Lonchura striata: one gene and its partner. The protein of the gene in region 2 interacts with the protein of the main gene of each other region in a biochemical or structural test. Links are inferred from orthologs where the notes say so. Each region holds a gene or a part of one and is shown on either strand. Other genes may lie near its edges. The genes, in order: B-cell differentiation antigen CD72 and SEMA4D.

Region 1 (10,576 bases), about 31 Mb from region 2:
TAGCAGCTATTTAAAGCCCTGATGAGTTGTCTTGCTCTGTCAGCCTGCTACAAGTGCCTGAGTTAACTTTCGCTTTTGAAAGATGCAATCACACCATGGGACCCTAAAGGTCATTGTTCTACTTTCTAATTAGCGCAAAAAAAAAATCCCCAAATGTCAGCACAGGCACCAGCCAGTTCGGGCTCAGCTTCCCTCCTTAGGTGCTGAGGCTTTGCCAAGGCCGTTGAGTGCTGGGTGAAAAGCCGTGGTCAAGCTGCTCCTGCAGTGGGGTCGGGCGGAAAATTCCTGCTGTGGGGAGGGAACTGTGTGGGGGTGGGGCTGTGCTATCCCCAGCTCCCGCTCCTGACATGTCAGCAGCACAGCTCTCTCCAGCTGGAGATGTGGCATGGCTCCAGCACTATCAGTGCTTGATCCACTCCGCAGCCAGTTCCGAGCTCCCCACTGCCCACCAGCCATTGTGCTCAGAAGACCCAAAGTGTCCCATGCAGGTGTGGGGTCGGCTGTGGAGCCTCTACCACTCAGCCAAAGCACATCAGCTGGAGGCAAAGGGTCACGGGGCATCAGGACCTGGGAGGAAGGACCTGGGTGGCCCAGGAGCAGTGGGCTGTGGGAGGGAAGTGGCTGTCTGGAATGGATGGGACATCCTGGGCACAGCAAGGGTGGAGCAGAGGCAGTGCAAGATGCAGGTGCTGCAAGGGAAAGCAGAGGAGGGTGAGGTAGGGTAAGGGGGAGATGCTACCCAGCCTCCACCACATGCAACAGAGCTGGGAAAGCACCTTGCCAAGGGTTTTCCCCCATCTTCCCCTTTTGCTGAGCCACAGCTTCAGGTCTTGAGCTACCTCAGACCCAGAATGCCCATGGCAGTGAAGGGATGGAGACAGGTTCCATCCAGCACAGGGAGGTGACTGCACTTCTCTGCCTTTCCAAGGGAGAGGGGCTCACCATGCCCCATGCAGAGCTGCAGGGCTCCCTGCTTTCCTTGAGGCACACCCCAAAGAGCGTGTGTCCCTGACTCAGCAGGACTCACCACAGCGGTGCTGGGGCCAGCAGCCACCATCACATGAAAGGGAGGCTTGGCCCTGCTGCCTTCTCACAGATCCAGAGGTGCAGGTCACTGGGACCAGTGCACTGGGCAGGTTTGATGCTCCCACGGCTTATTATGGCACAGGTTCCATTTGATTTTGACTGCCATGGCCTGAATGGGGAAACAACACATCAGGCACTGACATGTTCTTTCTACAAACCCTGCTGAGGCAGCTGCGGCTGCTGACAACTGCCTTTTGTACACTGGCAGAGGAGTGGTCAGATGCTGGAGGCAAAGGGGAATCCCCCAGTCCTCCCCTACTGATTTCACAGGCTGAAGCCTCGGCTGATGTATCCCTGCACTTTCATGGGCAGGCTGAGAAACACTGTAAAATGTTTGCAGTGCTTGAGACACCCCTTTAGCCTCCCCCTTCTCAGCTTCACTGGTGGCAGTTGTTCCATGCCTGCGATAGGGAGAGCCAGGTCCTCCCTGAAGGCATGTGAATGACCAGAGGAGCTGGCCTGAGCCCTGGGTCTGTTCTGGGCACAGCTCCATGGCAGGGCTGAGGATGGAGGGCCAGGTGCCCACAACCTGGCCAGACAGGTTTGTTCCTCCCCAGTGCTCTCAGACACTGCAAGAGGAAGCATCAGTGAGCTGAGGAGGTGGTGCACGTGGCAGGGAGCAGCCCAGGATTCTCCACAGACAGGGAGGCTTATCTCCCTTTGGAGAGGAATCAAGAAGGCATGTGGGGGATAGAGGTGGTGCTCAAACACCTTGCCTAGGGCCCAATTAAAATCTGGGGTTTCTTCCCACTCCTTGCTGCCTCCTGCTTCACATGCCCTGCATTTTACCCACCCCCTAGTCTTGGCTTTCCATTTGCGTGTCCTCTAAGCGCCTCATCACACCATTGCACCCACCTTCCCTCAGTCCCTGCTGCTCTGATGTTCTTTGTTTTCAAGGGCCTGTGCCTGGAACCAGTTACTGGTGGGATTTAAAACACTTCCTAGAGCCATGCCAGAGGACGGGATATTTGGGAAGAGGCAGTGCTGCCACATACCTTTCATAAAGGGAGCCGTCCACCCAGAACCAGGCCCCCTCACCCTCTGGGTCCTCTTCCTCCAGCCAGCCATAGTCGTACCAAGGAAAATTGCCCTTCTGCAACCCAATCCAGTATGGGACATCTGCATTCTTCAGGAAGGTCTGGAGAAGAAGAAAAAGTGCTTTTCCATGTTTTATTCCATGGCACCCATGTACTGCCATAGTATATCCTTCAAAGTGGGGTGATCATCTCCCCAAGGAGCCCCTTGAGTCAGGACAGCTGAGCAGCCCTGGTGCCCTGCTCCAGCCTGGGGAACATCCAGGGATGCCAAAGCCTTTCTATCTCATGTCAACCACCAGATATGTGCTCCAGAGAACAGCCTTGTACCCTCCAATGTTTTGGCAGGACAGGGGTCCCCAGAACCATGCTAGCCCATCTGGGGACCTCATAGCTGGATACAGCATCTCCTGCCCTCAGCTCCCCCAGCACCCTACCGGCACAGTCCAGCGACTCCAGGATTTGGTGACCAGGAGCTGAGAATATGTCTTCTCACACTCATCTCTGCTGTCTTCCCAAGTCTTCTTCTCCGAGGAGATGAAGAGGCATTTGCCCCTGTACAGCAGCCAGCCAGAAGGACAGCAATCTATGGGTAGGGACACAGCTGAGGGGCTTGCTCAGCCACAGATACCCTGGGGGGTAACAAGGAACAGTCCCACACCTTCCCAGCAGACATCACAGGCTCAGTGTCTGCTCCGGGCATTGCTTCAGCTCTTGAACCACCTTGTCCCCACCATGTGGTCAAAAAAGCCAGTACTTGCCCCTTGACACCTGCTGAGCGGTGCCAGTCACCCAGAGCACCCCCTCCCTTCTCCACCACCCTACCTATAGCTGTGCAGGAGCGCAGGAGGGCCACTGTGCTCTCGCTGTTGTTGAGCCTCCCCTGCACCTCCTGCACCTCCCTCTCTGTCCTGCCTAGGACCGCCGTGACGCGACGCAGCTCCGTGTTCAGTCTGTCCAGCTGCAGCTGGCTGATGTTGCCCTCGTGCCATGCTCGCTGCAGCTCTTCTCTGGCCCATGCCAGCTCCAGTTGTGTCTGCTCCAGGCTCTGCTCCCGCACCCTCAGCTCCTGTGACAGGCGGCCCTGCTCGGACGCGTGCTCACGGGAGGAGTCCTGCAGGCTGCGGGTGACCTGCCAGTCTGGGGAAGAGGGTGGGTGAGCTGGACATGGGCATGGGACAGTTTGGATGTGGGACTGACCCTGCTTAAGGGAGGTGGGATGGGCAGGGCAAGGCAGAGGTTTATCCATGATGAATGGGAAAAGATGTGAGGGAAGGACACAGCAGGGAAGTGTACAGTTAAGGGTTGGGCATGATCTGGCAGGGGAGAGCAGGACAAGGTAGGATGGATATAGGATGGATATAGGAGCAGACACAGCAGGTTAAGGGCAGGAAGAGTGCAGCAATAATGAGGCTGGACAATGCCAGGATTGGAAAGAAAAGGAGCAGAAATGGAAAGTAAAATTAGGAAGAGGGTAATGGGAGGCAAAGGAGGTGTGAGGGATGTGCGAGGGATATAGGCCAGCTTGTGGCAGACAGGGCATAGGGACTTAGCAGTGAGTGTGCATAAGCATGCCTCTATTCACCCACAGTGCCTACCCCAGCCAGATGCCTTCCTGACCCAACCACTCCCTGCCCCAGATGTTCACAATCCTCCAACTCACAGCAAGCCCCCAGGGCCACAGTGGCCACCAGCAGCAGGCAAGTCACCATCAGACCCACAGGGATGCACCACCAACGAGAGCAGCACCCTGTATGACACAACAGACAACAGACATCACCTGAAGAGCTGGAAAACCCCTAACAGCCCCCAGACCTCCTTCTTGGATACAGGCAGGAGAGTGGTGGCATGACAGCACAAATGGAATGGTGTGGGTGATGGGAGTGGGAGGACCCCAGAATACCACCCACAACCTACACCGGAACCATCCTGTGTCTGCTGGAATCCAGCTGGGTACTCACCTGGGTTGGGCTCTGCTCCATCCTCATCCTGCCCTGCCAGTGCTGGCTGCATGTTCTCGAAGGGGCTTTCTGCCTCATTCATGCCAAAGGCTGTTGGAGGAAGGCAGGGGAGAGTAGCTGAGGCCATGGGGCTGGGCATGGCAGGGACAGTGTGTCAGGGCCAGTGGGCTCTCACCTGCCTCCAGCTCCTGGCTGGCCATGCTCCGGCCTCCCATCACTTTGGCAAACCTCAGATCAGCATAAAGCTGGGCCATGTGGGCAAATGCCGGGCAAGCCCTGAGCCTCGCTGGCTCCTGCTCCACCCTTGGGATGCCTTTCTGAGATGTCCCTGTTCCCGGTGATTGCGCCGTCTCTTGGAGGTGCAAAGGAGAAGTGCAGCCAGCATCTGCAGAAGCAGAAGTTTGCTCTGCACTGTAGCAGATGGGAGAAGTGAGGCATGGCTGTGGGGACCAGCACCCTCTCATTGGTCACAGAAACACCAGCCTGTCCCCTCCCACACCCTAGAAGTGCTCATGGTCCCCCTAGGCACAGGGCAGGATGAGGACAGCACAGCCAGGTGTCACAGCAGGGGCAGAGCGAAGGATAGACCAAATGTGTGGTCTACAAGTCAGAGCAGGGCAATCCTGAATACAGGAGCAAATTGCTGCGTGACAGCTCCATGAAAAGCTGGAGGTATTCACAGATAGAGATTTCCTCTCCTAGCCTCTGAGAATGGGACTTTCCCCATGATGTATTTTGTTCCACTACCTCTCATCCCTTCCCTGGACCCCTCCAATGAAGACCCCAACTTTGGCATTGCTCCAAAACAGCCCCAGAGAGTTACAAAAATCAGTGACGTCCCCTTTGCCTTCCATTCCCAAGACCACAACCCCATGATTCACAACATCTTCCTGGTCCCTCCAGGCCCTCAGTGTCTCAGAGGTCTCTACTGAACTGCATCCAGAGGCAGGTTTCAGAAGGGATGTCCCCAAACCCTCCCACTGCTTCCCATTGCCTGCTACTGCCTCCCTCTCCATTCCACTGACTTACCATTGCCTCCCACTGTCTTTCAGATGGGCACATCTGAACACAGCCAGTCCCTGGGACAGCACTGGAGGTGCACAGTGGTGCTGATGGAGCAGTGTAACATAGCCACTGTCCTTCATTTCTGCAAGAGCAAGGGAAGGTCTTCCTCAGTGGAGAAAGGCAAAAATCAAAGCCAGCTTCAAAGGGGACAGGAAGGAGGTTTAGAAAGCTAAAATTTGGGCAGCCTCTACTCAACCTCCTGGAAGAAAATGGAGCATATCTGCCTGGGCATGCAAGGGCCCAGACCCAGAGAGGACATGCAGGGGAAAGGCCAGTGGCATTTAATGAGTGACTGCCCAATGTACCTCCTACTGCTTGGAAGCACTAGCCTGGGGTCAAGGGGAAAGCAACAGGACCATTTATTATGACCCTTCAGCATCTGGGATGCGGTTTTCCACAGTGTACTTGGTGGCAGAATGGAGACATGTGGCCGTGATGAGAGGAGAAGTGAAAGCTCATGCTGCAATGTGGAAGTCTCTTTTAGGCATCAGGGCAGCGATGCTCAGATCCTGGACCAGAGCACCAAGAAGAGGGAACCTCCATCCTGGATAGAGTCAGCAGCAGACCTCCCTATTCCTAGCTGGAAGCCAGACCTGCTTTCCCCTGCCCTAGGAAATTTGGTGAATTCTCTGTAGGCCGAGCCCTACAGCTCTGCCCCATGCTCCAGCCCCGAGCTGCACCGCCCCAACGCCATCCCCAAGGGACACTGAGCAGTTTTGGGGGGTGGAAGGAAGCGAGATGGTGGTGCCTGGCCAATGGCAGGGCGCCGGTGCCGCGGCCGTACTTTCCTCTCCGTCGCACCTCAGCACACTTCTGCTTCTACAGAAACCAGCTGCAGTTTTCATTCGAAGCAGAGCAGAGCCCGCAGGGCCATCGGGACCGCCCGGGACATGGCCCAGAGTGTGGTGTATGCTGACCTGAAGTTTGCCACGGGGCCCTCATCCACCGCTCCCGACGAGGATGACAGCCCGTACGAGAACGTGCCGCTGGGGCCGGCGGCAGCAGCGCCCAGCGCAGGTGCGACCGGGCAGCAGCCGCTGCCGCGGGCAGCCCCGGCGCAGGAGGCGCCAGGGACCACGGCGTGATGCCTGCGGGCGCTCCTCTCTTGCAGGGCGCTGGACCCGGCGATGGCGCGTCCCGACAGCGCTGCTGGCAGCCAGCCTGCTCCTGCTGCTGCTGCTGTTTGTGGCCGTCGTGGCCCTGGGGGCTTGCCGTGAGTCGGTGTCTGCCGCGGGGTGGGGGCAGCCGGGAGGAGGCACCGGGAGCGGGCGTCGGGCTGGGCGAGGGGCTGGGGGGCTGTCAGGGCGGAGGCGTGCCTGGGGCTCTTGCATGGCCACCACCAGCTGCTTCCCGCTGCCTTTCCCACTGCCTACCACTATCTGCCCGTATCTCCCCATGTCTTTTCCACTGCCTTCCATTGACTTCCCACTGCCTCCCACCCCTTCCCATGGTCTTGCCCCTTCTTCCCGCCAATCCCTCCCACCGCCTCCCACTCCGTGTCACTGTCTCTTCGCTGCCTCTCATAGTCTTCCCACTGCTACCCACTGCTGTCTTACTGCCTTCTGCTGCTTCTCAATCCCTCCCACTGCCTCCCACTCTCTATGAATGCCTCCCATTTCCTCCCACTGTTTTCCCACTGCCTCCCATTGCCAACCATTTCCTCCCACTGCCTTCTACTCTTCCCTAGTTATTGCCTCCTAATCCCTCTGACTGCCTTCTCATCACTGCCTCCCATTCTCTCCCACTGACTTCCCACTGTCTTACATTGCCTTCCACTTCCTTCCACTTCCTCCCACTGCCTCACATTGCCTCCCCATTTTATTCCCACCACCTTCTGCTGCCTTCCCACTGCTTCCCATTGCCTCCCACCACCTTCCACAGCTTTCTCATTGATTCTCCTTTTCTTCCCACTGTCTCTCGCTGCTTTCCAATGTCTCCCCTCCACCTGCCACCACCGGGGCTTCTGTTCCCTTCCCACTAGCATCCCCACGACAATCTCCACCCACAGCCAGATACTCTTATCCCTACTCTCACTTGCAAGAGGCATGACCCAGGCAGGGCTCCATGCCCATGTCCAGCTCACCCACCCTGTTCCCAGACTGGCAGGTCACCCGCAGCCTGCAGGACTCCTCCCGTGAGCACGCGTCCGAGCAGGGCCGCCTGACACAGGAGCTGAGGGTGCGGGAGCAGAGCCTGGAACAGATACAACTGGAGCTGGCATGGGCCAGAGAAGAGCTGCAGCGAGCATGGCACGAGGGCAACATCAGCCAGCTGCAGCTGAAAAGCAGCAATGCTGAGCTGGGGCATACCCAGCAGGAGCTGGCTGTGTTGCGGGAGGAGATGCATGTGGTGCAATGGAAGCTCAACAACAGCGAGAGGACTGTGAGCAGCCTGCTTGCCTGCATTAACACAGGTAGCGCGTGACAGTGTTGGGGCACAGGTGATGTTGCTGCTGCAAAGATGAAGGGGCTGAACTCAGCCAGGCTGAGCTCCCCAAGCATCCATAGAAGGATGAGTGTCTGAGCTGTGCCCCTGCCCCCAGATTGCTGCCCCAGGGGCTGGGTACTCTTCAGGAGCAAGTGTCTCTTCATCTCAGTGACAAACAAGACCTGGGAGCAGAGCTGGGAGGACTGTGCAGAGAGATTGGCTCGACTGATGGTCCAAGATAACTGGACACCACTGACAGTGCCGGTACAGAGCAGGGGGGTTGTGGTACCCCAGGAGGGTGGCGCTGGGTAGAGCCCCATGGGGCTAGCTGCAGCAGTATCTGTGGAGGTGCCAGGGTGGCACCATGAGCCCCAGATTCCCATCCTGGCAGTCTGATGGGATAAGCACAGCCAACCCTGGGGCTCCTGGGCTCCTAGCAAGTGCTGGTCATGAAGTAGGTGGTTGACAATTTCTCTCCCCCCTAGTATTTTATGCATGCATCTAAGGCACACTACTGGATTGGAGGAAAGGCAAGGAGATCTGAATGGATGGACAACAAACCTCCCTTGTAAGTGCAAGAGTCCTTGGCACAAGCACCTGCCCTTTTGCCATACTAGAGAGGTGCTGTTTTGCCCCTGTGACACCCTTCGGTAAAAGGGTTGATGGATTTCCATGACCAGTGCCCCAAGGGAGGGGGGGTGAGGGTAGAGCCAAGCTGTGGGGTGCAGTGCCAAATATCCAAGTGGCAGAGAAGTAGAGCAAGAGGAGGAATGTGACACTTCCTAAGAGTGATCTCTGTGCCAGGTGCCTTGCCTGCCCCAGCAGCACCGGGATCTATGGGAAGTGGTGTCCATGGTGAGGAGGTTGTCACTACTGCCCTGAGATATGCCATCTTTCCTAGGAAACGCCATACTAATTGCTGGTCAGTAATTAATGGGGAAATGTGGAGCAAGAACTGTGACAATGCCTACCAGTGGATCTGCGAGAAATCCCCAAAGCTGAGCAGTGCATCTGAGACTCAATCTCTTTTTTGACCAAGGACTGACTGCTGCCACCTCCCTCCATCACTGGACTCAGGAACAGGACCTGGGTGTGCACCCTGAGTTCCTCTCTCCAGTGAACACTTTGCCTCAATTGCGTTGCAAAACTGCTGGGAGAAAGTGTCTCTATTTTAAAGCAAGGATTGTGGAAAATAGACCTTATTCCACTCTCCCACACTTATGCAAACACACATTATACTGCTTTGTACTGTACCACTGCATGTCCCTGTGTGCTCTGGCTAATGCAGCTCTGACCCAGGTCTCCAGCGCCGAGCCCAGCTCTCACCTTCTTTGTTACCCCAAGGCTGCTGGGGTACAGGATCTGCCATTTGCGTATTTTTGGAGCTGAGGGTTGACACACTGATGTTCTCAAACTGTCCATTTTGGGGAGACCTGTGGATTTACAGCCTGTCCCTTCTCTCAGCATTCACAGCTCTTTTCCTGACGTTTCTTCTGTCTTCATCACCTGCCCAGGGCTTTGTGCTGGGTCCTACCTGGAAAGGGTGCTGACAGTAAGGCCATCAGCATGAGAAAATGCTGGGAAGCCCAGAGACCATATAAGAAGTGGGGGAGTGCTGGGGAGTTTTGAGAACATGGTGGATGAATGAGGAAACTCTGAAACCATGGGAGGAAAATGAGGGCAATGAAGAGCCCTAAAACCCTGGGAGGTGAATGTGGAAATCCTGAGACCACGGAAAGAAAGGGAGTGCAGTGGAACTGCAAATGAGGGTGGTCCTGAAAAAATGAAGGTGCACTGATAAGACAGTGGGAGAGAGGAAGAACCACTAGGGAGACTTGGGAACATAAGGAAAAGGGGAGACCCCTCCCACCAAGGAGGAAAGATACCTAAGAATGTGGTGGGACCTTATCTGCCAAAGGAGGGTGATAAGACACTTCAGTCCAGGACCCAGTTGGGGTGTGGGGGGAGTCCAGAAACAGCTCTGACCCTCCCTGTCTCAGTCAGTGTTTCTGCAGAGAGAGGAATGTGATGGCAACCATTTAGCTAAGGTGGACCTGAGACAGCCAGCACCCTTCACCACAAGTCCTGCCCAACCAACCCAGTGGCCTTCTACAATGGAGTGATTGCATCAGTGAACAAGGAGAGGGCTATGCGTGTCTTCTGTCTGGACTTCTGTAAAGCCTTCAACACAGTCCTCCTCTGAACTTGAGATAAATGGAGTCAATGGGTGAACTGTTCAGTGGGCAATGTTGGACAGCTGCATCCAGAAGAGAATGGTCAATGGCTCAGTGTCCTCATGGGAACACTGGTGATAATGTTGGCCCTCAGGGATCCACCTTGGGACCAGTCTTATTTAGTACTTCTGTCAACAATGTGAACAGTGGGATCAACTGCACCCTCAACCTGCAAGTTTGCAAGTTACATCATGCTGGAGTGGTTTGACACACATGAAGACAGGATGCCATCCAGTGGGACCTGGAGAAACTTGAGGAGTGGCCCTTGGGAGCATCATGGCAAAGGGCTGGAACAACCCCTGGCACCAGCGCAGGCTGGGCATGAACAGACCCAGAGCAGCCCTGCCCAGAAGGGCTTGGGGGTGCTGTGGGTGAGAGGCTGCACATGGCCCGGCCATGGCACTCACAGCCCAGAGAGCCAAACGTGTCCTGGGCTGCATCCAGAGCCCCGTGGGCAGCAGGGGAGGGAGGGGATTCTGCCCCTCTGCTCTGCTCTGCTGAGACCCACCTGGAGCACTGCATCCAGTCCTGGGCTCCAAGCACGGGAGGGACAGGGACCTGCTGGAGCAAGCCCTGAGGAGGCCATCAAGATGAGCAGAAGGATGGAGCACCTCTGCTGTGAGGAGAATTTTGATTTTTCAGCCTGGAGAAGAGAAGACTTCAGGGAAAACTTACTGTGGCCTTCCAGTACGAAAAGGGGCTACAGAAAATCTGGAGAGAGACTTTACACAAGGGCTTGTAGCAAAAACACAAGGGGAAATGGCTTCAG
Region 2 (10,702 bases):
TCATCAGTCTTTGAATTTTTCTTTCCTTTTCGGGGAGGACAGCTAGATGGAGATGCTTAAAATGACCTTTTAAAATGATCTTTGTAAGTATATTGTCAAAGACTAGCCTTGGTTCCTTCCAACCTATCTTTTATTTTTCCTTTTGTTACTCCCTGGAACAGAGCTCTTTGTCCCCAAAGGGGTTTGATAGTAGCAAATTGCTCATATCAGCTTAGAAAAACTCATCCTCTCCTGTACTGTATGTCCTTTTATTTAATTTATAATAGTGAGGCAATTGGATCCTTGGCTTTGTTCTCTATATAAAGTAACAGAAACCTAATAGGAGCAACCAGTGGAAAGGAAAACCTTACTCTAGGGCAGGGAAAAAAATGTCCCTGTGACAGACATCACAGTGGGAAATCATGACCTGGTTTAGCTTCAGTCAAGGAGTGGTTATTGGGGCGACTTAGTTCAAGAAGCAAGTTACATCAGGTTTTTGCATTTTTTGGGAGTGAGAAGGACAAAAGATGTCAGCACAAAGAAAAAAAAAAATCACACAAGGAGAAGAAAGCAGTCTGCTTTCACTTTTTATTTCACTTTTTATTCACAGTATATTTCCACTGCTGGCTTCTCATTTTGCACATTCATGGTTGTCCAAGTGTTGACAGGAATCAATTGGCTTGTCATTACTTGAGATAGATGCCCTGTACAGGAACAGGAGCAACTATGAGATTCATGCTTTAACATTAATATTGCTTTTCTATCAAGGTTCAAAGCTGGGAGTGTACAGGTGTTAGCTGGGTAACTCAGCAGAAATAACAGTCAAAGGTAGTTACAGACATTGGTACAAGTTAAAGAATCCCACTAGTCTTGTGATCCTCTCCAAGTAAACTGTGTGCATGGAAAGTAACTGAACTAGAATGCTATTCTGATTGATAAAAAGGCAGACTTTTCACTCACTACTCTGATGATCCATTCCCCTCTTCTCAGGCCACACTGTGATCAGAGACATGCACACATAAAAGAGACAGGTCTGTGACTACTGTCTTTTACAATCAAGTTTGTCACAAGAAAAATCTTCTGTAATTCCACTTCTTAATTTGTTTTTGTAAAGCATCATATTAAGTTATTCTTCTACTAAAAAATGTAAGGAAAATAAGAAAACATCATAAAATACTGTAATAATGCAGGCAATAAAAATGTAAGGTCCATACAGGAAGAATGCAAGCTTAGTATAAGTTTCTAAATGTCTTAATCCACTATTCTCAAACCCTACATTTGCTTTTCCTGTATTAACAACAGAACACTTTTGTTACCTCTCTGGTTTCATATTTATTCATGACTAGCACATGTTACTCCACACCAATAGTTTGATATTGGTATTATATGTATGAAAACCACGTAATCAGAAATGATTCCTGTGATTGGTGATGACTCCATTAAACAATTTTCATTACTTTGATCTTTTTGGAAATGTAAATGCATTTTCAAAAAACATAAAAACAATATATTGAGTTTTAGTTTCTTCATTATTCTTAATGTACTCCATTATTGATGTTGCCTCATTGACCTTGTCCCCTGAGGTAAGCACTGCTGACACCTTTTTTATTATTTTTCTCATTAATAAACATGGCCTTCTCTAGGCCATGCACTTCTTCCGCCATGTAGAGTGGATAAAGCGTCTTTTATCATTCATTTTTTATTCATTGATTGTTGATTCTAAGTCTTTCCATGCCATCTTCCTACGAAAAGACCACTGGACTGGTTAGTTTCTTAATTTTGTAAGCATGCACATAACTGAGCTGTTGGTGTAAGACTTACAGGCTCCATATTTGGACACTGGTAAGTGAAAACACAAAATATTTGTTGCTGTTGTTTTGCCTATGAGCAAAGTATGTTATTAATGTAACTTGCTAGTAATATCTCATTGTAAAATACAAATGCTGACCCAGCATCAGAATGAGAGGAATCCCTACCACTTTTGCAATCCTTCTCCAAATCCACCATGTCCCTTATCCTTTTAGCAAACTTTCTAACAGGCTGTGCTGTGACATTTAATAGACTAGACTGCAGATGTCTAACTAATGGTTAGACATTAACCTACAGTGTAGCTCCCCTAAATCTGTTATTCCAGATTAGGAAATGAAATGGAAAATATTCTCTGTGACCTTTACAGTGCTCTTAGCCACACAGATCCACCAAAGGCAGAGAAAAAGACCTTCTTCCTCTGCCACGTCATCCAGACATGCACTTCCCCTACTCTACATCATCTAAATGCAGATGTCTGTGTAGCATTTACTTAGCTCCCTCTTCTCCTGTCTTAGGCATACAAACATGGTAAATACAGGGACAGTTTTAAAGTCTCTGAGTGTATAATTGCCATGTTTATCCATAATGATATAGGAAGTCTTCAGCCCAAAGAAACCCAAAAAACCCCAAGGTCAGGAGATAAAACTCCTTGACTATTATAATTTAGTTTCACTGCCTCTGTAATTGCAAAGTGAAGTCAATGCATTTTCTCTGCCTGATGGGGAGGATACAAAAGTAAAAGGTCAAGGCTTTATCCATCTGTGGTTCTGTCACTCACCTACTGTATAATCTTGCACAAATCACTTTGAGCAGTTGTGTATCAGGTTCCTAACTAGGACAGTTAATGGCATCTTCCTGCTCTGCAAATAATTTTACATCTATGTCAATTCTAGTAGCTTAATAATGTTAATCAATATTAATTTACTGGACAATGCTTTTAGATGCCTTTTGTGTGCTTACTTTTCTGTACTAAGGTTTCCAAAACTGTTTTTATTGTCATGACTGTAAAATGTATTTTAAATCTTTATTTTTATTATGTTATTTTCCCAAAATTGGTAGTGAAAAGGGATTTTTTTTCAGCAATGTGTGCTCTTTTCCTCTAATGCTGGCTTATATCAATGATGAGTGATTTGAAAAGTCACGCCATCATAGCAATATAAAGGTGTAGCTTGAAACCTTGACTTTATTCAGAATTGTTCACAGTTGCACTCATTCAACCCAACTATTTTTTACTTTATTCTCTCATCTATTCATTCTCTCACGCACCCTGCTACTGACCTATTCCCTGTATTATGTATCGGTTTGCAAACCTCTGGGCATGTTCAATGCCCTTTTCACTGACTTACTAAAAACCTACCACCTGTTCACTCACTCACTCTTGGACAGACCTGCCCTCAGCCTCAGACCTGGCTTCTGAGACAGTTTTAGTCTCTCTCAGTCCTGACTCTGCTCCTGTATCTTCTATCCTGCAGCCTATTTGTTTGTGAGTTTAATTAAGGACTGCAGGTTTAAGAGCACCATCAGTTGTTACAGCTTTCTTTAACCCCTTTTTCTTTCTTAATTGCTTATTTATTTTTCCTGGCACAGATTTGACACAGCTTGCCTAGACTTAAAATACCTGTCTGTATATTCAACCCCAACACATTGTCTGAAGTAAATGTGTTAGGACTGAGGCAGTCTTTATATACTATTACTTTGCAGAAAGCATTATGTGTCCTTTTGAAGATTAGACTTTATTATGCTTATAGTAAAGGTTTTTAAAAGCATGTTTCCTCCATGTCCTTGGAATACCCATTATGGAATTGATGTGGACATGTATTAACAATTGTTCATTATTTGATCTCATTGCAACAGCATGCAGCATTTGGGAGATTATTATATTTTTTTGGAAAACAAAATCAGTTATAATTACTATGAGGACCAGTGTCTTCAGCCCTACATCACTAGCTCAGATTAATATACAACCCAGATTAGCATTACAGACCTCTGGAAACTTCTCAAATCTGTGTCAGAGGCCATTTGTTTTTTATTCCTGTGAAATAAATGACTTATAATTGTAACCAAAAGGAATTTTCAGTGGTGCAATTCATGGTACCAGCTGTAAGTTCCCAACACTGTTATTACTAGTGTTTTCTTTTTCCCATCAAATCCCATTTGGTAATATATACTTGAAAGAAGGGTCTAAATGTGATTGAGAATTTGCCATTTGACAAGGTACAAATATCAATTCCTTGTTTCACCTCCAACCTTCAAGTCTGTAAGACTCTCCAGGTTTCACTGAGAATGGAGATTGAAAGCTACTTCATAAAAATTAACAATATAATTCTTAAAAGGTAATGACGTATTACTTGGATAGAGTCAGAAATAATGGGAATTTTGTGTTTGTGCTAGCCTTTGCTCCAGTTCCCTTGTGCCACTCCCTGGTTTTGGAAATTTGTACAGACTGCAGGCTTCATGGGGAAACCTGACAAAATCCCTGTGATTTTTCTACTCAGAGCTAAGAATTGCCCAAGTCTAGATTCTGTAAAATGAGAGATTAAAAAAGCATCTTTGTTTCTTCCCTTGTAATATAATTTCATAGTTGTATTCCCTCAGGACATGCTTAAAGTCTTGTCTACACTGGAGGGTTTTGTCAGCATATTAATACCAGCAGTGAGTCCCAGTGGAGATGCAGGTTAATCTTCTGATGGTATAAATTATGGCAATTTACCAAATACAGTATGATAAGGATTTTTTACCATGCTACTGTATTTTCAGCAAGGATTTTCTGGCACGGGTTCATTTCACCCTCTCATTTATGCCCCTTTCGGACTCAGGTTAATCATCAGAAGTGGTTCTGCCCCTTCCTTGCAGACCATGTCTTCTCAGCCGCTCCTGCTGCCATCTCCCAGATGATTATGGGTATGATTACTTTCTTTTCCATGCTTCACATCCAATGTTTTGATGGCATTACGACCATATTTGATGTCAATGGCGTGATGAACACTGGTTATCCATTGTTAAGATGGACTGTTACATCACCATTTTGAAAATGTAGTGCAGGAAAACTCGTTTCCCACTGTTTACCACACAACAGACTGTTTGCCGGCTATGCTAGTAGCCTCCTTCAGATGCTACCATTTCGTAGACCCTGAAATATCAAGGTTGCTTTGCATGTAACTTCCTTAATCTGAAGTTATTACCATGCCTCCATGCTTTAAGAGGCTAGATCTCCTCAATGATTTCTTCCTGATGTTATTTCTTACCTACAGCTAATATGAATTATTAGAGATTGACTAGCATGTTATTGTAAAAATACAGTATTGTGAAATGCCGGAATTTAAAGGTCAGGCAGTAAAGCAAGTGCTATTGTCTGACAAGCTAAATATTTTGTCCAGTCTTGCTTCAATGACTACTGCTAACCAAACTATGGCAATTTCATGACACTGGTATCACCTGTTCCGCAGCAATAAAACAAACCAAACCCCAATCCAAAACCAGAGACCCATGTGTCGGTCCATGCCATTCATCTGAACAGTCACACCAGGCGTGCAGGGACATGACGGTAATCAATAGCTCATCAGTGACTCAGCAGGATCACCGCGGGTGAGATCTGTGCATTTACTGACCTATTTTCTGTCCTCCTTTCATATACCGCCGAGCAGTCACCTAAGCGCACCTATGCCTCTAAGGTGCAGTAATTCTAGTAGCAACGGCTTATGACACGAGTTATTTCACTCCCATGGTACCAGGCTGGATCCCAGGTGCGGTTTTCCCTGCGGTCTGCGGCGAGCGGATCCCCCGTGCCCGCGGAGGGGCGGAGGAGGAGCGGCGGAACGCGACAAGCGGCGCTGGGTGCGAGGGCGGCGGCGGCTCCGGCCCGGCCGAGCCGCGGGACGCCGCACCTGCTTTCGGCAGGGACAGCCCCAGGGACGGGCGGGGGCAGCGGTTCCGCCGCCGCCGAGGCCGGCTGGTGTCCCAGCGCCGCCGCCGTTAACGGGGCCGCGCCGCCCGCGGGGGAAGGGCCGAGCACCACCGAGCTGAGGGCGGCTCGGGCCCCCGCCAAACCCCCGGGAGCCAGCCCAGCCGGGCCCGCCCCCAGCTCCGCTCGGCCGCCATACTGCGGGGCGACCCAAACTTGTTACACCTCCTCCTCCTCCTCCTCCTCCTCCTCCTGCCGCCGCCGCCGCTCCCGCCGCCGGCCTGCCCCCAGCGGCGCGGGAGGAGGGGGCTGCGCCGGCCCAGCCCCAGCCGCGGGGAGGGCGCCGAGGCGGGCGGGGGCCGTGCGAGGGGAGCGCCGCAGCGCCCCGCAGGTAGGAGCGCCCGGCGGGGCGGGCCGGGCCGCGGGAGGCGGCGGGCGGGAGCGTTCCGTCGCTGGGGCAGCGACCGTCCGGCCCCGCCGAGGTGGGGCTGCGGGAGCCGGGCGCGGGCGGCGCGGCCGCCCCTACGGAACGCAGCCCGTCCTGCCGCCTGACGGGGCCCGGCCGCCGCCGCGCTCGGGCGGGGGGCGAGGGCGCTGGCAGCCCCCGCCGGCCACGGGGCCGGAGCGAGACGAGAGGAGGAGCCTGCAGCCGTAGCAAATGAGCGAGGGCTGCCAGGTTTATAAATCTGCTTTTCCTCCCCCCCCTCCGAGCCCCGCTGACTCCGGCGGCGACGGGCGGGCGGCTGCGGCTCCGCCAGGTGCGTGCCCGGGGTGGCGGTCGGGGCCCCGCCGTCCGCGCCTGCCGCACCTGCCGCGGGGGCGGGGGCGCGGCCGAGGGTGGTGAGGATGGATGCGGGGCGTTCTCGCCCGGCTGAGGAGCAGTCGGTTTCCAAGGGCCAGCAGCTCAGGTTGCCAGGAGTGTGTCCCGGCGCTTCGGGGAGGCCGCTGTCTGCTGGGAGCCGCCGTCCCTCGCTGAGCGAAGAGCCGTGCGCGATACCGGGTGCTTGCTGTCGGGTAACCGGCTGCACGTGTTCTGAAGCGCTGTTATGTGCTGCTTTATTTTTTAGCTGTCAGGAGAGTTTGAATCGGGTCTCCGCGGAGGTGCTGAGTTTGCAAGGTACGTGTGAAGAGAGTGTCTTCTGTCCCCATTTGCCTTTTCGGCTAATTCCGAGAGGATGTCTTCACTGCTTCCCGGAGGTGTGGGTTATTGCGTGGTGTTTTCTGCGTATACACAAATACGCATCATGGGCGTTTAAGGGAGAGGATTTGAGTGGATGAATGCAGCCGTGGTAACTTCATTGTTGCAGGTCCTTTCTATTACATGACTGCCTTTAGCAGGGAGGGGAGTAGAATTTTGATCCTGCCCTGGTGTAGTCCGGAACCTGATGGATCTGTAGATTGAAGGGATTTTTGAAGTCTGCTTTCCGGTTTAATGCTGAAACATTTTCCTATTTTCCTTCATGTCTTTATTGTCATGTACCTCTTACGGAGAGTTACTTCGGCTTAAAAATGTTTAAACCTTTAAGTTTATAGCACTCAGGTATTTCTAGTAGCTCTGAAAATCAATGTAGCAATAATGCATCTTTTTTAAACAAAATTAGAATTCTCACAGTAATTAGCACACGTCTTTTGAATGCTGTGTGCCCATCAGGCTCAGAAATAGCTACTGATCTCATACTCCCTTTTGGATACCTGTATGAAGGTTTTGTTAGAGAACAGTTTAATGACTTCTTTTATTAGAAAGAGTGCGAGCTCAGGCAATTACGCAAGTGCGCCTAAAGGAAGCTGTGCTGGCTGCGTGGATGGCGAATGTGGAGGCCGAGCCGGAGTGGGAGTATCATTTACAAACGGAGTCAGAAAGGGGCATTGTAAGGGAGAGCCGAGTGGCTCGTGTCGGGTGAAACACTGTACGTAGGGAGGAGTGTTTGTACCGTGTGCTGCCTGGGACGAGCAGGCCATGTATGGATGGCCACTCATTCTTTCTGGTAGCAGAGATGAGTTATAGGTGGCTATTTCCACTGGAAGCAAACGGATGGCATGGGAATGTGTTACTGCGTTTATATTCTTAGAGGATTGACAGATGAACTCTGTCTTTACTATCATCTCTTGGTGTGTAGAGGGAGTATTTCACCATCTCTCTCCTCCTCTGAAATGATTACATTATATACCTTTATCTGTGATCCAGGATTGCTACAGAGTCTGCTGACAAAAGCTGCTTCCATTCATACCTACCAAAATAGGTCTATACTGGTTTTTAAATTTCTCTTGTGTTTTTTTAAGAAGCAAAAACCATTGTAGCTAGTGGGGAGGGCAGTAGCTACTTCCACAACAAATTAAGTGTTTGATATGAATGGTTCTGTTTCGAAACTCGAACACTGATTCATAGGTTTTTCTGGACACTTAAGTACAGGTGTGCCCACAGGCTTAATTTAATATGCTGTGTTGCCATCTCTCTGCTGGTATTATGATTCAGTCTCCTCTCCTCCCCCCCAGCCCAGTCCCTGCATAAACAGCTATCACATTGAACACTTGATAACTTTTCTTGTTAACCTTGTATGGATACAGCAGTACCCTGCCAAAATGTGTGGATTTATACCACTAAGAGGTCCTGCAAACAGAAGAGATGTTCTGGATGCCCTGGCGCATCCCATATTGGCCTGCCTCCTGAGCAGCTGAGCCTCAAAGTTCCCTGCTCCATGCAGCCTTTTGCTGGGGCGAGCTGGAGAACTCCAGAGGATCTGTCATTTGCTGAAGGCCACTTGGGTGGAGTTGAAGGCTGCACTGTGCTTGCTCTGCAGCACACTCTTGTCCTCTCTCCTAGCTGTTTTAGGGGGTGTGTGCTAAATGAATATTTTTGTTTTAAAATGCATTTTCCTAGCTGTTCTCTTGCAGTGAAGCAAGTGGGAGGTCTCTTTCAGTCCATGTCAAAATCAGTTCTTATTCTGGGCTGCTAGCATTAGATTTAATACTTGCATATGTCACCTGCTTTGCAGAAGGTGTTGAATAAGTTGATAGGTGGTTGTTCCATAATCTCATTTTTAAGGATGGCTTTTTAAAATAGGACTCTAAATCAGTAGAAATAAAATCTTGGAGCATTTCTATCATACTTACATTACCTTGGAACTCCACCAATTGTTTTTAGCTTTGGTTTTCTCCAGGAAAAAGGGAATTCCAAGCTAGTTGTTGCAATAGGGATTTTGTAGGTAACCAGAATATAAAGTTCTGAATGTGCAGAGGTGAAGTTACTTACGCCAGGTTTTGCTGTGCAAAGGTAATGAAATAATTACCAAAGTTGACTAACATGTCTTTTAAGCCTCCAGTGCTTCCAAATGTTGGGTCTTGTTGAATTCTTATTCTGTGATTTAAATGAGTTGAAAAGTAGCTTCTGAAGGTATATGACCATGAAAGCATTATTCATGATGGGTGGTGATCTACTATGAGTCTTACTAAACTAAAAATCAAGTACTTGTAGACATGACTGAGACAATTTTTCACAGTATTTTAAATTCTGGGTAGCATGTAAGAGTAAGGCTGGAGATTTAAAGAAACAAAAACAAGGAAAGCAGATAGGAAACTTTCATTGTGGTAATATTAAACAGTTTGGTGAGGGAGTGTTCTCTGTTGTGTCTTATACTCAGTTGCTGTATGCTATGTTAATTAACTGAAGAAAGGTATGCTCATTTGGGAACCTGCATAATAAACAAGGAGCTGGGAAGTGCTTTTGGCCTTTTGTTTGGTTGCTTTTTCTCTAAAGTTTTCTGCCTCCTTTTTTCTAACTAGTCATTTCTCTGATGATAAAGCATTATTTTCTAAGGTTTTCTTCATCTGGCTTTGCTTAGTAGTCGTGTGCTTGAGTGTCTAGGTAGATAGATAAAAGAAATGTATTGAAAAGCATGAGAAAACTTTACTTGTGTCCTGAGCTTGGGAGGATGAAGTGGCTGAAGAGCTGCTTTTCAGTGGAGCATACAACTCAACTTCTGGTTGAGTACCAGGTGGAGCTTGGGAATGCCAAAAGGCACCACTGAAGCTTCCATTTGCAGTTAACTTGCCAGTGTGTTGATACAGCTGTGCGGGATAGATGTGGAAGCTGTTTTAATTGTTTTCCTTCTGATACGGAGGTTTTGTCCTTGTTTCTTGGATGATTTGATGAAAGGAACCAAGAATTACTTTTCCTGTTCTCATAGCTCTGCAGCTACAAAGAGAAAAAGTAGAACCTCCTATTTCAGACTAATGTGTGCTGTCATCCAGGATTGGGAAGTTACAGATCTTGCTGTCCAGAACTGAATTAATGAGGTCTTACATTTAATTGTATTCTGGCCAAAAAGCTTTTATATTCTTTTATCTTCCTGTAAAGTTCCAGGAATGCAAAAGCCTGTTTAGCTTCTGGGTGTGCTGCTGTAGCCTGGTTTCACCATGAGGGAAGATGCTGCCTGCAGTTACAAGTGTGTTGAGCGCCTCTTCTAGCCAAGGGTGTCCAAGAGCTGCTCTGTTTCCTCCTGCTCCCTGTAACACCAAGTTGTGGTGCAGCAAGCTTCTAGGCATGTCTGTGTTTTTGAAAACAAAATTAATAAACATACCAGAACTTAATTTCTGTAAATGTAGTGCTTTCCCTTTTTGTATTATGGGATGGAGGAGGAAAATAAGACTTGTATTGAATGAAGGGTCATGAGTGTTTTTTCCACTACTGTTACTCCGAGACTTTGGACATATAAGTCTTTCAAAGCACCAGACAGCAGCCTTTACTTCAAGAGTGTGTTGTTCTGTACTGAGGGAGCCAGTTCTTGTGGTCTGGAGGAGGGGAAAAAAACAGATGACAAAATAATAAAGAACTGTAAACAGATTACAATCATAATAAAAAAATCTGTAGATGTAAGCAGATAAGGAACTTAAGAACCTTTATAAAGATTGTTCATATAGTTAATTGAAGCCCATGTATGAAGTTTAGGTCCAAGTTTGTTGGTACAAGTTAATAGTGGACACTTTTTTTTTGTCTTTCTCTGCTCTTCCACCTAT

Evidence for each region.
Region 1: the proteins of SEMA4D (region 2) and B-cell differentiation antigen CD72 form a complex in vitro, tested with the Homo sapiens proteins (2 studies listed by BioGRID and IntAct). The link is inferred for Lonchura striata from reciprocal best matches to the Homo sapiens genes SEMA4D and CD72.

What each region holds. Positions count from the first base shown.
Region 1 is NC_134642.1:39,734,080-39,744,655, reverse strand, and holds B-cell differentiation antigen CD72, read right to left. Parts: upstream 4,336-10,576; coding exon 4,257-4,335; intron 4,172-4,256; coding exon 4,082-4,171; intron 3,871-4,081; coding exon 3,784-3,870; intron 3,261-3,783; coding exon 2,946-3,260; intron 2,707-2,945; coding exon 2,558-2,706; intron 2,225-2,557; coding exon 2,082-2,224; intron 1,196-2,081; coding exon 1,057-1,195; downstream 1-1,056. Other genes in the region: B-cell differentiation antigen CD72-like, read left to right, coding at 6,037-6,163, 6,258-6,359, 7,245-7,559, 7,689-7,837, 8,059-8,105, 8,478-8,607. UniProt on the Homo sapiens protein: Co-receptor of B cell receptor (BCR) that plays both positive and negative roles on B-cell functions. Recognizes the Sm/ribonucleoprotein (RNP) self-antigen ligand, and coligation of CD72 and BCR inhibits BCR signaling.
Region 2 is NC_134642.1:8,235,926-8,246,627, forward strand, and holds the start of SEMA4D (semaphorin-4D), read left to right. Parts: upstream 1-6,009; 5' UTR 6,010-6,080; intron 6,081-6,429; exon of another isoform or gene 6,430-6,447; intron 6,448-6,488; exon of another isoform or gene 6,489-6,756; 5' UTR 6,757-6,806; intron 6,807-10,702. UniProt on the Homo sapiens protein: Cell surface receptor for PLXNB1 and PLXNB2 that plays an important role in cell-cell signaling. Regulates GABAergic synapse development. Promotes the development of inhibitory synapses in a PLXNB1-dependent manner.